2 linked regions of the Stegostoma tigrinum genome follow. Each later gene encodes a partner of the first gene's protein in a complex. Links are inferred from orthologs where the notes say so. Each region holds a gene or a part of one and is shown in the gene's direction. Other genes may lie near its edges.

Region 1 (8,315 bases):
GAGGTTAGTAGGTAGATGGGGGTGCGGCTTGGGGTGGGAGGAAGGGATGGGTGAGAAGAAGAACTGGTTAGGGAGGCGGAGACAGGTTGGACTGGTTTTGGGATGCAGTGGGTGGAGAGGAAGAGCTGGGCTGGTTGTGTGGTGCAGTGGGGGGAGGGGACGAACTGGGCTGGTTTAGGGATGCAGTAGGGGAAGGGGAGATTTTGAAACTGGTGAAGTCCACATTGATACCATTAGGCTGCAGGGTTCCCAGGCGGAATATGAGTTGCTGTTCCTGCAACCTTCGGGTGGCATCATTGTGGCACTGCAGGAGGCCCATGATGGACATGTCATCTAAAAAATGGGAGGGGGAGTGGAAATGGTTTGCGACTGGGAGGTGCAGTTGTTTGTTGCAAACTGAGCGGAGGTGTTCTGCAAAGCGGTCTCCAAGCCTCCGCTTGGTTTCCCCAATGTAGAGGAAGCCACACCGGGTACAGTGGATGCAGTATACCACATTGGCAGATGTGCAGGTGAACCTCTGCTTAATGTGGAATGTCATCTTGGGGCCTGGGATGGGGGTGAGGGAGGAGGTGTGGGGGCAAGTGTAGCATTTCCTGCGGTTGCAGGGGAAGGTGCCAGGTGTGGTGGGGTTGGAGGGCAGTGTGGAGCGAACAAGGGAGTCACGGAGAGAGTGGTCTCTCTTTGGACACTGTTGGCGGGGGGGGGGGTCCTACCAGGGGAAGGCCATAGCGGGCAGGTCTCTGGCCCTGTGGCACAGAAGGGAAGAGGGCGCGGAATAGGAGAAAACCCACGCAGACACGGAGAACATGCAAACTCCACTCAGTCGTCCAAGAGTGGAATCAAATCCTCTATGAGGCAGCAGTGCTAACCACTGTGCCACCATAGAGAGATCTCTATGACTCTAATAGCTGGCTTCAATTAATGTATTGGCTGAGGTTATCTGTGGGCTGGTGACCTACCTGGATATGAGGCACAAACAGGCGGTTCTGTGGATGCGAACGAGATGAGCGGATGGTATGTTGCCTCTCGGGTACCAGGGTCCGTGATGTCTCGGATTGTTTCTTCGAGATCCTTCAGGAGGGAGGGTGAGCCACCAGCAGGAATGCTACACATCGGTACCAATGACAGAGGGAGAAAAAGGACAGAGAATGTGAAAAGTGAATACAGGGAGTTAGGTTGGAAGCTGAAGACCAGGACAAACAGGGTAATTATCTCTGGATTGCTACCAGTGCCACGTGATAACAAGGTAAGAAATAGGGAGAGCGTGCAGCTAAACACGTGGCTACAGGGTGGGTGTAGGAGGGAGGGCTCCCATTATGTGGATAATTGGAGCACATTCTGGGGAAGGTGGGACTTGTACAGTAAGGACGGGTTGCACCTGAACCGGAAGGGCACAAATATCCTGGGAGGGAGATTTGCTCGAGCTGTACGGGATGATTTAAACTCGATTGGCAGGGGGTGGGGAACCGGATCTGTAATTCAGAGAATGAGGTATTCAGTCTGCCAGCAGACACAATTAGGGAGTGAGGTTGTTTATAAAGAAATGCAGCCAATGGAGTGTAATCGTGGACACTGAGCTGGTTTGAGGTGTGTAGACCTCAATGCTAGACGTATCAGAAATAAGGCGAATGAACTTAGAGCATGGGTCGGTACTTGGAACTATGATATTGTGGCCATTACAGAAACTTGGGTAACTCGGAGCGAGGGATGGTTGTTGGAAGTTCCGGGATTTAGATGCTTTCTAAGAAATAGGGAGGGGGGTAAAAGAGGCGGGGGAGTGGCACTGAGTCAGTGCGAGTATAGCAGCTACTGAAAGGCAGTTTGAGAATGATATGTCTACAGAGTCAGTTTGGGTTGAGGTCAGGAACAAGAAAGGAGCAGTCACTTTGTTGGGGGTATTTTACAGACCCCCTAATAGTTGCAGAGAAGTGGAGGAGCGGATTGGGAGGTGGATACTGGAAAGGTGCAGAAGTCACAGGGTTGTAGACATGGGTATCCTCAACATTCCAAATATGGATTGGAAACATTTTAGTTGTAATAGTTTGATGGAGCAGATTTTGTCCGGCATGTTCAGGAAGGATTCCTGGCACAGTGTGTGGTTAGACCAACACGAGGGGAGGTTACATTGGATTTGGTGCTTGGCAATGAACCGGGCCAAGTGTTAGACCTGTTGGTAGGAGAGCATTTTGGCAGTAGCGATCATAACTCAGTTACTTTTGCAATAGTCATGGAAAAGGATAGTACATACAGCAGGGTAAGGGTTATTAATTTAGGGAAGGGTAATTACAGTTCTGTTTGGCAAGAACTAGGTAACATAAAATGGGAACAGAGGCTGTCAGGGAAGAGCTTTATTGAAATGTGGAGATTGTTTAAGGAATGCATACTGTGTGTGCTGGATATGTTTGTCCCTAGCAGGCAGGGAAGATGCGGTCAAGTGAGGGAGCCTTGGTTCTCAAGAGAGGTCAAACGACTGGTTAAGAGGAAGAAGGAGGTTTATATAAGGTTTAGGAAACAAGGAACGGAGAAGGCTGTAGAGGAATACAGGTTATCCAGGAAGGAACTGCACAGCGGGCTTAGGAGAGCTCTAAGGGAACATGAGAAAATCTTGGCAGATAGGATCAAGGAAAACTCCAAGGCTTTATACACGTTCTTGAGGAATAAGAGAATGACCAGAGAAAGGTTAGGGCCAGTCAAGGATTGTTAAGGGAATTTGTTTACGGAGGCTAAAGAGATAGGGGAGATCCTTAATGAATATTTTTCTTCAGTATTCACAACTGAGAGGGACCTAGTTGTGGCTAGAGGAGGTCGATGTTAGTAAGGAAGATGTACAAGGAATTCTGAGGAAGTTGAAGATAGATACGTCCCCTGGGCCTGATGGGATTTATCCAAGGATTCTATGGGAAGTGAGGGAAGAGATCGCAGGTGATGATTTTTTTTGTCCTCACTGCCCACGGTATAGTGCTAAAAGATTGGAAAGTGGCAAACGCCATTTCCTTGTTCAGAAAAGAGAACAGGGATAACCCCGGAAATTACAGGCCAGTTAGTATTACGTCAGTGGTGGGCAAATAATAGGAAAGGACTCTGAGAGACAGGATTTATGATCACTTGGATAGGCACAGTTTGATTAGTGATAGTCAGCATGGATTTGTGAGGGGTAGATCATGCCTCACAAACCTTATTGAACTCTTTGAAGCGGTGACCAAACACATGGATGAAGGTAGAGCAGTGGATGTGGTATACATGGATTTAAGTAAGGTGTTTGATAAGGTTCCCCATGGTAGGCTCATGCAGAAGGTAAGGAGGCATGGGACAGGGGGAAATGTGGCAGATTGGATTCAGAATTGGCTGACCCTGAGAAGACAAAGTAGTGGCAGGGGATGGAAAATATTCAACATGGTGATGAGTTGAGGAAGCATTGGAAAAGGTGCAGAGGAGATTTACCGGAATGTGTCCTGGAATGGAGCGAAGGTCTTACGAGGAAAGGTTGAGAGAGCTAGGGCTTTTCTCTTTAGAACGACGAAGGATGAGAGGTGACTTGATAGAGGTGTACAAAATGATCAGAGGTACAGATAGAGTGGGCAGCCAGAGACTTTTTCCTAGGGTGGAGGTGGCTATTATAAGGGGGCATCGTTTTAAAGTGAGTGGAGGTAGATATCAGGGAGGTGTCAGAGGCAGGTTCTTTACTCAGAGAGTGGTCGGGACGAGGAATACATTGCCAGAGAGGGTAGTGGAGTCGGCCTCATTAGGGGCATTTAAGCGGCTATTAGATAGGCTTATGGCTGATAGTATAATGTAGGGGTGGAGGTTAGATAGACCTTAGGTTTAGGGTAAAAGTTTGGCGCAACATTGTGGGCCGAAGGGCCTGTACTGTACTATTTTCTGTGTTCTCCATCCGACACTCCTTCAGACACTGCTGCTGGTCATTGGTTGTCAGAGTCCTCTGCTGTCCCTTTTGCTGATACTTCTGCTCCTGCAGATGCCCAGGCCTAGCTGTGGACCTGGAGCCTTGGCTTAGCCTGTGAGTCTGAGCTCGGGCAGTCAGCCTGGGACCTGCTTCTCAGTCGCCATGAGACCCCAGGCTGGGGTGGAGCAATGTCTGGCTCGTCCTGGCATTCCTGCCACCGTCGGCTTCCTTTTTCACCGGCCATTCTCCAGGCTTGAAGAAAGGAAGGAAAACAGTAAAAGCAAAAGGAAGAGAAAAGAAGAAAGCAGACATTGAAGAGTGATAGTAGGAACTGCAGATGCTGGAGAATCTGTGATAACAAAGTGTGAAGCTGGACGAACACAGCAGGCCAGGCAGCATCAGAGGAGCAGGAAAGCTGATGTTTCGGGCCTAGACACTTCTGCAGAAGGGTCTCTCCCTCAGAAACGTCAGCCTTCCTGCTCCTCTGATGCTGCTTGGCCTGCTGTGTTCGTCCAGCTTCACACTTTGTTATCTCAGACATTGAAGAGAGATGGTTATCATTGCAATATGTCTCCTTTCTGTATTCTGACTCTTTGGTGTTGGATATCCTTCTTACTACAGTGATGTTGTCAGCAAACTTATGGATGGCATTTGTTCAGAATTTGGCAACAGTTATAGATGTGCAGCAAGTACAGTAGGGGATGAAGAGTGCATTCCTGGGGGGGGCTCCAGAATTGAGTGTTATTGTGGAGGAGGTGCAGTTACCTGAAAGCTGCAGATCTAGGTCTCAGTGTTGATCTGTAATGTAAGGGTTATAAATGTTATCAGGGATTTTGCCTCGACCACACTAACAGGCAGTGTCCATCATTCAACAATTACCAGCCTGCCATTCATCCAACTCAACTAACCAACTCTTAGCCCAATCCAACCTTCCAATTGAGAAATACATTTGTAACTGCAGTGGCACTCTGCCGGCCAGAGCTGGCGCTGCTGACAAACATTTGATTTGAACTTTCTGCTCAGACGGAACCTCTTGCCACATCTACGTCTTGTTGTTATGGAGGCCGGAAAATGTGTGCGCCGCTGTACACTGTCCGGGTGGTGCCGTTTCCGGTCTGCGGCAAGGGGTAGCGCTTTGAGGGCCAGGAGCAGACGCAGTGGTAGTGTCCGCGGCTCGGGGTGAGCGAGGGCCGGGGCGTTAGAACACAAACGCACCCCGCGCCAGGCACAGATCGGCGGAGCGGATGGGGGCGCTGATGTCATGGAAACCGCGTCTGGCTGTGTCCCCACCAAACCATTCCCTCCACCGCCTTCAACTGTTCGGCCTCTCCCCCCCCCCACTCCCTCTCCCCATTCCCCGCCCGGACTCCCCCCCAAACTCTCCCCCCTCCCCCTCCACTACCCTCCCTCCTCCCCCAGACAACCTCCGGGCATTGTCCGATACCCCCACTGCCACACGCCCGCCCTCCCTCCCCCCCAACTCTCCCCCCTCCCCCCCCAACTCTTCCCCCCTCCCCCCCCAACTCTTCCCCCTCCCCCCCAACTCTTCCCCCCTCCCCCCCAACTCTCCCCCCTCCCCCCCAACTCTCCCCCCCTCCCCCCCCACCTCTCCCCCCCTCCCCCCCCAACTCTCCCCCCTCCCCCCCCAACTCTCCCCCCCTCCCCCCCAACTCTCCCCCCCTCCCCCCCCAACTCTCCCCCCTCCCCCCCAACTCTCCCCCCTCCCCCCCCAACTCTCCCCCCTCCCCCCAACTCTCCCCCTCCCCCCCAACTCTTCCCCCCTCCCCCCCAACTCTTCCCCTCCCCCCCAACTCTTCCCCCCTCCCCCCCAACTCTTCCCCCCTCCCCCCCAACTCTCCCCCCTCCCCCCCCACTCTCCCCCTCCCCCCCCAACCTCCCCCCTCCCCCCCCAACTCTCCCCCCTCCCCCAACTTCCCCTCTCCCCCCTCCCCCCAACTCTCCCCCCTCCCCCCCAACTCTCCCCCCTCCCCCCCAACTCTCCCCCCTTCCCCCCCAACTCTCCCCCCTTCCCCCCCAACTCTCCCCCCCCCAACTCTCCCCCCCCCAACTCTCCCCCCCCCAACTCTCCCCCCCCCAACTCTCCCCCCCCCAACTCTCCCCCCCCAACTCTCCCCCCCCCAACTCTCCCCCCCCCCAACTCTCCCCCCCCCAACTCTCCCCCCCCAACTCTCCCCCCCCCAACTCTCTCCCCCCAACTCTCCCCCCCCAACTCTCCCCCCCCAACTCTCCCCCCCCAACTCTCCCCCCCCAACTCTCCCCCCCCAACTCTCCCCCCCCCAACTCTCCCCCCCCCAACTCTCCCCCCCCCAACTCTCCCCCCCCAACTCTCCCCCCCCCAACTCTCCCCCCCCCAACTCTCCCCCCCCCAACTCTCCCCCCCCCAACTCTCCCCCCCCCCCAACTCTCCCCCCTTCCCCCCCCAACTCTCCCCCCTTCCCCCCCCCAACTCTCCCCCCTTCCCCCCCCCCCCAACTCTCCCCCCTTCCCCCCCCAACTCTCCCCCCTTCCCCCCCCCCCAACTCTCCCCCCTTCCCCCCCCCCAACTCTCCCCCTTTCCCCCCCCCAACTCTCCCCCCTTCCCCTCCCTCCACCCCCCAACTCTCCCCCCTCCACTCTCCCCCCTCCCCCTCCCTCCACCCCCCAACTCTCCACTCTCCCCCCTCCACTCTCCCCCCTTCCCCTCCACTCTCCCCCCTTCCCCTCCACTCTCCCCCCTTCCCCTCCACTCTCCCCCCTTCCCCTCCACTCTCCCCCCTTCCCCTCCACTCCTCCCCCCTTCCCCTCCACTCCTCCCCCCTTCCCCTCCACTCCCCCCCCCCCTTCCCCTCCACTCCCCCCCCCTTCCCCTCCACTCCCCCCCCCCCCCCCCCAACTTTCGGGACGTGTGGTGAAGACGCTGCTTTTTCGTTAATACTCACAGACTTGTTGCGTTCCTGCAGCACAAACCGAAAGTCTTCATGTGGTCGCTTACACAGGCCGCAGCCACAGGAGACCGAAGTCCCACAGAGATGCTGGCTGTTGTATCTCCTACAGGTTTATCTGTGAGGGAGTGTAATGATGCCACATGATGGCATGCTTTGTGCCCACCTATTTGTTTGGAAGCTCCTCTAATGTTATATACAGTTGCTCCCAGTCACTGTTCCTTTGATATAGTCACTCACACCTCTGAAAGTAGCCATTCAAGTCCAGTGTTATCTCCTCACAGTGTAACCCAGTCAGTCCTCCTCCTGCTCGATCCGCCTAGCTCTGCAGGTTAATTTCATTTTGAATTCATTCAACGTCTCCACTTCACTGACCTCGAGGGCAGAGAATTCCAGGTTGTTGCCACTCTGTGTAAAAATAAAATTCTTCCTCATGTTCCCGTTTTGTCTCCTGCCCAGAATGTTGAAGCTGTGTTCCCTTCGACCACTGAGCACAGCTCCCCCCCCCCCTACCTAAACCTGTAATAATCTTGTAAACTGATCAACAATCCCAAAATCATTTTTGGTCTAAGAAGGAGAGCCCCATCTTCAGTAAATTTGCAATGCCTACCACCAGCCCCAACCCCCCAACCAAAATAAAGGTCATGGTATCATTTTGGTTTTGTTCATGGGATGTGGGTGTGTCTGACAAGACCAGAATTTATTCATACTTATTGTTGAACTGAGTGCACTAAAGACATTTAAGAGTACGTACAGCAATGTGGTACGGTGGCTCAGTGGTTAGCACTGCTGCCTCGCAGCCCCAGGGACCTGGGTTCGATTCCACCCTCGGGCGACTGTCTGTCTGTGTGGAGTTTGCACATTCTCCCCGTGTCTGCGTGGGTTTCCTCCGGGTGCTCCGGTTTCCTCCCACAGTCCAAAGATTAGATGAGTTGGCTACGGGAAACATGGGGATAGGGTAGAGGGCTGGGTCTGGAAGGGTTGCTGTTTGGAGGATTGTTTCAGACTCGATGGGCTGAATGGCCTTTTTCCCCACTGCAGGGATTCTATGATTTCCTTCCCTAAAGACATCGGTGAACCAGAAGGGATTTTATGGTAATTGACTACGGATACACGATCACCATTGGCATAGTTTTTTATTGAATATATGTTTCGCCATTGGCCACAATGTGATTTGAACCCAGAACAGTCACCTGGGGCTACCAGCATCTCCCAGCACCACTGTCTCCCCAGCTACTCTGTGAATATAGTCTAGAGCATGCTCATGTTTCTCATCTCCTGCAGGTTGTTCAGCTACTGTCCTATCTATAACATGGAGTGGTAAATATCTGATGTTAAGAGCAGCCTGTTTTGCATAAATTACATGTTCATCTCTTCCTGCCAGACTACAGGCACAGTGACATTACTGACCACACCCAGAGGATAAGAGCCTACCTAGATACTCATTGCCCTTTCCTGCCTCCTGTTAG
Region 2 (8,499 bases), on another chromosome or scaffold:
AACATAATCCCAAACTAAACTAGTGCCGCCTGCCTACTCCTGGCCCATATGTCTCCAAACCTTTCCGATTCATACACTTCATTGTAACTGTATCCATATCCACCATTTCCTCACAAAGTTCATTCCACATGCTAACCATCCTCTATGTCTGCTATCCCCTCATGTCTTTTCCAAAACTCTCCCCTCTCACCATAAAAATGGGACCTGAATCTTGAAATTCCCCCATCCTAGGGAAAAGACCACTACCATTATCTTTATCTATATCCCTCATTATTTTATAAACTTCCATAAGATCGCCTCTCAAGCTCTAACACTTCAGTTTAAAAAAAGTCCCAGCCTACCACTACAACTCAGACCTTCCATACCTGGCAACATCCTGGTAAATTTCTTCTGAACCCTCTCCAGCTTAATAATATCCTTCCTATAACTGGGAGACCAGAACTGGACACAGTACTCCAGAAGAGGCCTCACCAATGTCCTCCACAACCTCAACATGACTTCACAACTTCCATACTGGAAAAGACTGAGCAATGAAGGCAAGTGTACCAAATGCCTTTTCAACCACTCTGTCTACATGTGACATAAAGAATTATGTACCTGAACTCCTAGGTGCCTTTGTTCTGTAACACTACCAAAGGCACTACCATTTTAACTGTATAAGCCCTACCCTTGCTGTACAAAAATGCAGTACCCCACATTTATCCAAATTGAGCTCCATTTGTCATTGTTTAGCTTTTGCTCACAAATCTCTCTCGCTATTTTTGGTTGGAGGAAAGTATAGAGGGGATGTCAGAGGCGGGTTCTTTACACAGAGAGTTGTGAGAGCATGGAATGCGTTGCCAGCAGCAGTTGTGGAAGCAAGGTCATTGGGGTCATTTAAGAGACTGCTGGACATGCATATGGTCACAGAAATTTGGGGGTGCATACATGAGGATCAATGGTCGGCACAACATTGTGGGCTGAAGGGCCTGTTCTGTGCTGTACTGTTCTATGTTCTATGTTCTATCAAACCAAAATGTTGAAAACAACCAGATCCCAGGATAATTGGACTTGCGTTTCTGTATTGCTACCTCAAGCTGCCCCAAAGCCCTTTACAGTCAATTAAATACTTTGTCAGAATGCCAGAAATTCTGTTGACTTTCTGGAGGTGTAAAGTGCAGGAGTAATTCATGCTCTGAACACTAAAGCAATTATAATTATGATAATTAGGAAAGCCAAACAAGTAGCAGAAGTACAAGGGAGCATAGGAGTGTTTGACTGTATCAATCTCTCCTCTCAGCGTTCAGTGAAATGCTGAGGACATCTTCAGTTTGTAGGGAGCATTGCTGACATTTAAGGTCTGGGGCCACAATTTCAGATGATTTTGTTTGGCTGGTAGAAGTGTGAGAGGGCAGAACAGAGTGCCAACTACAAACGTGGTGGACAGGTATAACAGTCAAAGAAAAAAGGTCTTTTTGAAACCACAGAGCATTTCATATGAAGCGAGGCTGGATATGGTCAGGCAGAGTAGGAACTGCCGATGCTGGAGAATCTGAGATAACAAGGTGTAGAGGTTGTTTTCTTTGGAGCATAGAAAGTTGACGGAGAACCTGACAGAGACGTAAAAGATAATGAGCAGCATGGTCATGTAAAACTGAAAGCAGCAGTTCCTCTTAATTTAAGCATCAATACAAGGGGACATATTTGTAAAGTGAAAAGGCAGGAGGTTTATAGGGATGTGAGGGAAAACGTTTTCACCAAAGAGGGTGGTGGTGGTGGTCTGGAATGCACTGCCTGGGGCAGTAATTGGGGTGGGAAACCTCACAACTTCCACTTGGATGTGCAGTTGAAGCATAATAACATTCAGGAAATTTAGTGCAGGAGAGTGGGACAAGTATAGCTAGTAGTATTTTCAGCAGTACAGACCTGATGGGCTGAAGGATCTCTTCTTCACTGTGTAATACTATGATTCAAAGATGTGAATCCACTGCTAAGGTTTTATTTGGCCACTCTTCTGTTCGTTTTAGCTTAAGTTAAATAACAACCTTTACGTTACTTACCTACACGGGAAGTTACAAACTCTCCAAAATGTACAAACCCATCACAGAGATTTATGTACGGACCACCACAAAAGATAAAATGCTTCATCTCCCAACGATCCCTTCTTGTGCAGGGATATCCATGAACAGCTGAGAGGGTGGGAAGAGTCAAGTGCCAGCAGTTGTGGTAACAGCAGCACAGGTAGAAAGAGGGATGAAATATCGCAGGAAACATGGTGTAAGAGGGAGGGCTTTAGACTTCTGGGACATTGGAGTAAGTCGGTGGGAGACACAGATCCTATAAAAGCCAACATGGTTGCATCTAAACAGAGCTAGGGCCAATTTCCTTACAGGGTGCTTGCTATGTGGAGGATTTGAACTAAGGAGGCAGGGGCATGGGAGTGAAGAAGTAACAATAGATAGAAATGCCAAGGCGTGTAAAATACAAATAGAGATGTTATACTCCAAAAAAGAACAGCTTTTAATTCATTTGTGGGAATGTTGAACATCACTGGCTGGCCAGCCAGCATTTATTGCCTGTCCGTAGTTGCCCTTGAGAAGGAGGCAGTGAGCTGCCTTTTTGAACTGCCGCAGTCCTCCTGCTGTAGGTTGACCCACACTACCATCAGGGAGAGAATACCAGCATTTTGAATGAGCAACAGTGAAGGAACGGCAATATAGTCAACAAATTTTCTGAAGGAGAGTCCTGACCCAAAACATCAGCTTTCCTGCTCCTCTGATGCTGCCCGGCCCGCTGTGTTCCTCCAGCTCCACACTGTTATCTCTGACTTTAGCATCGGCAGTTCTTACTGTCTCTCCATTCTCACCATCTGTTTTAAAACTGCAATATTGATTCTCAGTCTGTTTTCAAAAACACATTTGTTGAGTGTACTGTATCCTACAGTGATTCAGTATCAATGCAGCACTCAACAGATATTCCTGATTTCTTTTTTCGAATTTCTTCCAATATTTTCACTAAGGAGAATGCCACATCTACTGGCTCACTGAGAGCAAGAATCCGCTTTTTACTATACTTATGCTCTTTTTAGCTTAAGCTAAAAGTCAACATTTACCTTGCTTACCCACACGAGAAATGATAAACTCTTCCGCATTTGGAACCCACCACAGAAACTGGCACCAGAAAAAAAAAGGTTTCACAATCCTGACATCTCCAATGAGGGAAACTTCAAAACACCAGGCTTCATTTTTGCTTTCTTTTTTCAATCCTTTATTTGCCTATATATCCTCCACCTTCATAGCTGTACTCAACTCTAATGATTCAAAATGGCAATGTGACCTTGTTTCAGTACCTAGCCAATTCAACTGTCCAATTAGAGTTTGAAATTCCTTCACTTCAGTTTTCTAAGCTATTGTGTCTCTTTTGTGAAGCCTAAATCTGACAAATATCAATGCAGCTAACATTTTCTAAATAAGACTGCTGATGTAAAGTGACACTTAATCCATTATAAATGATTTCCAAACCAATGTACTTCAAAGCCTAAACTCTAGTTTTGAATTCTGCTTTATGCCCATTTATGACAATGTGTTCAAATTTAATGCTATTATGCCACAAATAAAAATCTACATACATCACAAATTTGCCGAAAACTGCCCTTCATGACACCAATAAAACATGGCAGGGTCTCTTTTAACTGAAGCCAACCCAACTTAAATATGACAGAATGTACTGTACACTTTCATTCATCTTCCAGACTGACCCCACTGCATTTGATGTCCCTGTTGGATGATGAAGACACATTTCCTTCTGACAATGGTCTTCCTGCAGAAATGTAACTTTAATATGAGTTGATCTATTCTGCTCCCTGGTCAACATCTGTCTCAGTCTTACTGCAGCGTTCCAGTGAAGGAAAACTCAATTGGCCAAGGAGAAAGTAGCCCAGTAAAAGGTTAAATACTGCGGATGCTGGGGATCTGAATATTTTAAAAAAAAACAGAAAGCATTGGAGAATCTCAGCAGGTCTGCAAGTATGAGACTCAAACCATTATATCTATTTCACTCTCCTTAGATGTTGGCAGACCTGCTGAGTTTCTCCAGCACTTTCTGTACTTATTAAAGTAGCCCAGCATCTTATTCTGCAGCAAACGTAGGTTAAGAATCTAATGACGACCATGAAACCATTGTCAATTTTTGGGAAAACCCACCAAGTGCACCAACAGCAATGTGGTTGATATTTAACTGCTCTCCAGATTGGGCAATTAGGGGTGGACAATAAATGGACAAAAAAAGCCAGTGACACTTCCATTCCATGAATGAATAAAAATAGGGCAGAGGCAGTCATGCCTGAGTGGGGCACCTGGGGGGAAAAAAAAGCTAGGCCAAGGTTAACACAGGGTTGAAAAGTCATGGCACCATCACGGCAAAGAGTCGACCATCGTGGCACAATTTATCAGCTTACAAGATGCTAAAAAGTCTAGACATCCAATACCTATACTTTATCTGCAAAATTGCTGGGAGCTTCCAGTTGGCTGCCATTTATACCCACCACCCTGCTCCCTGGCCAACATCTGTGTCTCGGGCTTACTGCAGTGTTCCAGCCAAGAACATTTCCCACTTGGGGACCTACAGCCTTCAGGACTCCATATCAAGTTCAATCATTGTAGGGCCTGAGCACCTTCTTCCATGTCCTTTACCTCAACCCTCAGAGGCCAGGCCTTGGTGTCAACATGGGGTACTACCACAAACCACCCCACTATCAGCCAGTAATGGTCTCCATTAGCAGACATTCCTTTATCTGCCCAGTTTCTTTTTAATGAAGGACACTGGACCCAAAACATTAACTCTGCTTTCTCTCCACAGATGCTACCAGACCTGCTGAGCTTTCCCAACACTTTCTGGATTTTTTTTTCTTTTGTTACTTAAAATGTTTCTTTTTGCTAATGAGTCTCAAAGGAAAAGTCTTAAAGGAGGGTATTAAACGCGTTCCACCGCAGCATCCCCACAATACCTGTTCGGCCCCACTCTGATGCGGGGCGTTCCGCGAAAGCAGAGACCACCCATCCCTCGGCGGCCACCGTCGCGGAGGCTTCGGGACGTGAGCCGTGTGATGCACCACGGTCCCTGTAGTCCAGGCGGTGTGGGGCGAGGACTGCAGCGGCCGTTTGTGTGTGTGTGTGTGGTGGGGGGGGCGGCGTCACATCCGTTTCCGTTCTTCCCTTTTTCCCGCCCCCTCTCGCCCGCCCGCCCGCCCGCCGGGCCGGTGTTTGGGACAATGGCCGCTTCCTTGCTCTTGGTGCTGGTTGTGGCCGTGACAGTCAGGGCTGTGCTGTTCCGCTCTTCGCTGGTGGATTTTATCTCAGAGCGAGTGGAAGTGGTCTCCCCTCTGAATTCGTGGAAGCGAGGTATCTGTTTCGTGTATGTTTAACCATTCGTTTGGCCCGTTGCAGCCTCCCTCCCGCCGCCCCTCTCTTGTCAGTGTGGATTGGGCTCTAAGGGCTTCTGATTGTCACTTCATTTGCAAGCTGCAGGAATCCCCCATCAGCACTGCCATCCGTTTTTTAAATGTTTAATGCTTAATTCATAACGTGTGGCACGCAAAAATGCGCATTCCAGTGCTGTTGCTAGGATCTCAGGAAAGTATAACAACGGCGATCAAATTTATTGCTGAGATCTTGCATTTAAACAGCTCTACATCCCGTCTTTGCAAAACCTTTCCCCCTGCAATTTCTAGCCACAGATATGTAGTGGCACCTCTGTGAGCAGGTGCTGCAGTTATTCTTGTTTTGCAGGACTTACTGGTCAGCAGTGAGCTGCAGGATCAAACTTTTTTGATTTTTTTTTGTTGTGTTCTCTCTTTTTAAAAAAATAATCAGTCATACCTTTCACACCATTTGGGATGGTACAAGGCACTTTACTGCAGGTGAAGTACGTTTGATTTGTGGTCGTAGAGATGTACAGCATAGCGACAGACCGTTCGGCCCAATTCGTCCATGCAACCAGACATTCCAATCAGACTGAGTCCCATTTGCCAGTATTTGGCCAGTATCTCTCTAAACCTTTCATATTCACAAGCCCATCCAGATGCCTTTTAAATATTGTAATTGTACCTGTTTCCACCACCACACCTGTCTGCTCATTCCATACGCACAACACCCTATGTATGGAAAAAGTTGCCCCTTAGGTTCCTTTTAAATTATTTCACTCATCATTAACCGATGCACTCTACTTTTGGGCACCCCTACATTGGGAAAGAGACCTGGGCTATTCACCTTTTTCATTCTCATCATGATTTTATAAACTTCGACAATGTCACCCCTCAGTCTCCGATGCTCCAAGGAAAATATTCAGTTTCTCCCTATTTTTCAAACCCTCCAGCCCTGGCATCATCCTGGTAAATCCTTTTCCTGAACCCTTTCAAGTTTCACAACATCTTTCCTACAGCAGGGAGACCCAGAATTGAATACAAAATTCCAAAAGTGGCCTAACCAATGCCCTCCCAACTCCTATACTCAGTGCACTCATGTCACTGTTGTAATACAAGAAAAGTGGCAACCAACTTGTACATAGCAAATTCCCACAAACAGTAGTGTAAAGACCAGAATTTCTGTTTTGTAATATTAATGAAGAGATAAATATAGGCCAAAATACCAGTGGGAAACTTGCCACCACCTCTTTGAAAAAATGATTTTGGATTCTTAAGGTACATCAGAGAGAGTATGCCACGTCTTCATTTAATATCTTATCTAGCCAATTCCATCTCTGACATTGCAGCACTCCCTCAATACTGCACTGGATGATCAGCCTGCAGTTTTAAGCTCCAGTTTTAGTGTGGGACTTGAATCCATATCAGTTTGAGTCAGAGGTAGATTTACTCATTAGGACTCTGGATGAATCACAGACACAGGCAAATCACTTACATCTCATTATGAAGGATAATCCTGACATTGCAATGCATCGCGTGTACTCACCTGAGCACGTACCCATGCTTGTCAGGTATCTATGTTGTGTGTGCCTTGAGCCCATCTCAACTACCAAGCCCTTCAACTTTAGAACATTTCCAGACAGTTGCTAACCCTACTTTTGACTTGTTTCTGGCAAGAGAAATTTTGTGCTGTTTAACACTTAAGACGATACATTTATGGTCGGTTGTGTTGGAAGCAGTTTAACTTGTTGTTAGGGCTGTCAATAGTTCCATGAAGAACAATCATGATTAATCCTTCTTTCTGTTAATCTTAGTTTTAACCATGTATTTAAATGCTTATTTACCAATTTTACTTTTCAAACAGCACTATTAAATATCTTGATGTCTTGTTTTGGTAACTGTGTCAAGATGCCTGCCAGTAATGGGGGAATATGGCTGACTGAAATTGGATAAATGTGTAGGCAGCCTTGGTGGTTATACATTTTAGAATTGACAGCATAATTCAGATACATCAAAAAATCCTATAGGAAACCTGAAGGAAATTTAAAGAGAATTGCTTCCATCCCAGCCTTTGGTCACACAGTCACTGCTGTAAAATTTACGGATCCCTTTTGCTTTCAATTTTCCCATTCACTAGACGATTTGGATGTGAATGTAGGAGGAATGGTTAGTAAGTTTGCAAAAGGCATCAAAATTGGTAGTGTGGTGGACAGTGAAGAAGATTATTGAAGAGTACTATGGGACATTGATCAGACAAACCGAGGAGTGTCAGATGGTGTTTAATTTAGATAAATGTGACGTGTTCAATTTTCATAAGGCAAATCAGGGCATGACTTAACACTTAATCCTCGAGTCCTGGCGAGTCATAGTGTCATACAGCATGGAAACTGACCCTTCGGTCCAACCAACCCATGCCAACAATAATCCCAAACAAATCCAGTACCACCTGACTGCGCTCGGCCCATATCCCTCCGAACATTTCTATTTGTTACTTATCTAAATGTCTTTTAAATGTTGTAACTGTGGTCACATCCACCACTTCCTCTAGAATTTCATTCCACACACGAACCATTCTCTGTGTAAAAAAACAAAAAAGTTGCCCCTCATTTTTTTTAAAATCTTTTTCCTCTTACCTTAAAAGTATGTGCCCTAGTCTTGAAATCCCCGACCCTAGGAAAAAGACACCTGCTATTCACTGTGCCCCTCATTATTTTATAAATCTCAATCTACGTTCTAGTGAAAAAAGTCACAGTCCTTATAACTCATCTTTGATATCCGGCAACATCCTGGTAAATCTCTTCTGAACTCTGTCCAGAATGATAATATCTTTCCTGTAACAGGGTGACCAGAACTGCACACAGCACCCCAGAGGAGACCTCATCAACATCCTATACATCCTCAACATAACATCTCAATTCCTACATTCCAAGGTCTGAGTACTGGAGTGTTGCTCGATAAAGAGACCTTGGAGTGCAGGTTTGTGCCTCCTTAATGGTGGAGTTACAGGTAGACAGGATAGTGAAGAAGGTACTTGGTATGCCTGTTTTTAATTAGTCAGTGCATTGAGGACGAGAGTTGGGAGGTCATGTTGCAGCTGTACA

What was found.
Region 2: the proteins of gpaa1 (region 1) and pigu are in contact, whole or in part, in a cryo-EM structure (PDB 8IMX), measured with the Homo sapiens proteins. The link is inferred for Stegostoma tigrinum from reciprocal best matches to the Homo sapiens genes GPAA1 and PIGU. Residues at the interface, in NP_003792.1 of Homo sapiens: Gln245, Leu310, Arg311, Arg313, Phe358, Leu359, Ile371, Ala389, Leu390, Trp393, His397, Leu500, Ile504, Leu508, Cys512, Leu515, Thr516; in NP_536724.1 of Homo sapiens: Tyr349, Ile355, Phe356, Cys360, Ile363, Val364, Leu367, Leu368, Val371, Leu372, Leu375, Ile377, Tyr378, Ala379, Gly380, Ser381, Phe386.

Annotation. Positions count from the first base shown.
Region 1 is NC_081355.1:159,738,034-159,746,348, forward strand, and holds the start of gpaa1 (glycosylphosphatidylinositol anchor attachment 1 protein), read left to right. Parts: upstream 1-4,967; 5' UTR 4,968-5,083; intron 5,084-6,893; exon of another isoform or gene 6,894-7,177; intron 7,178-8,230; exon of another isoform or gene 8,231-8,315. UniProt on the Homo sapiens protein: Component of the glycosylphosphatidylinositol-anchor (GPI-anchor) transamidase (GPI-T) complex that catalyzes the formation of the linkage between a proprotein and a GPI-anchor and participates in GPI anchored protein biosynthesis. Binds GPI-anchor.
Region 2 is NC_081372.1:12,866,069-12,874,567, reverse strand, and holds the start of pigu (phosphatidylinositol glycan anchor biosynthesis class U protein), read left to right. Parts: upstream 1-5,196; 5' UTR 5,197-5,248; coding exon 5,249-5,378; intron 5,379-8,499. UniProt on the Homo sapiens protein: Component of the glycosylphosphatidylinositol-anchor (GPI-anchor) transamidase (GPI-T) complex that catalyzes the formation of the linkage between a proprotein and a GPI-anchor and participates in GPI anchored protein biosynthesis.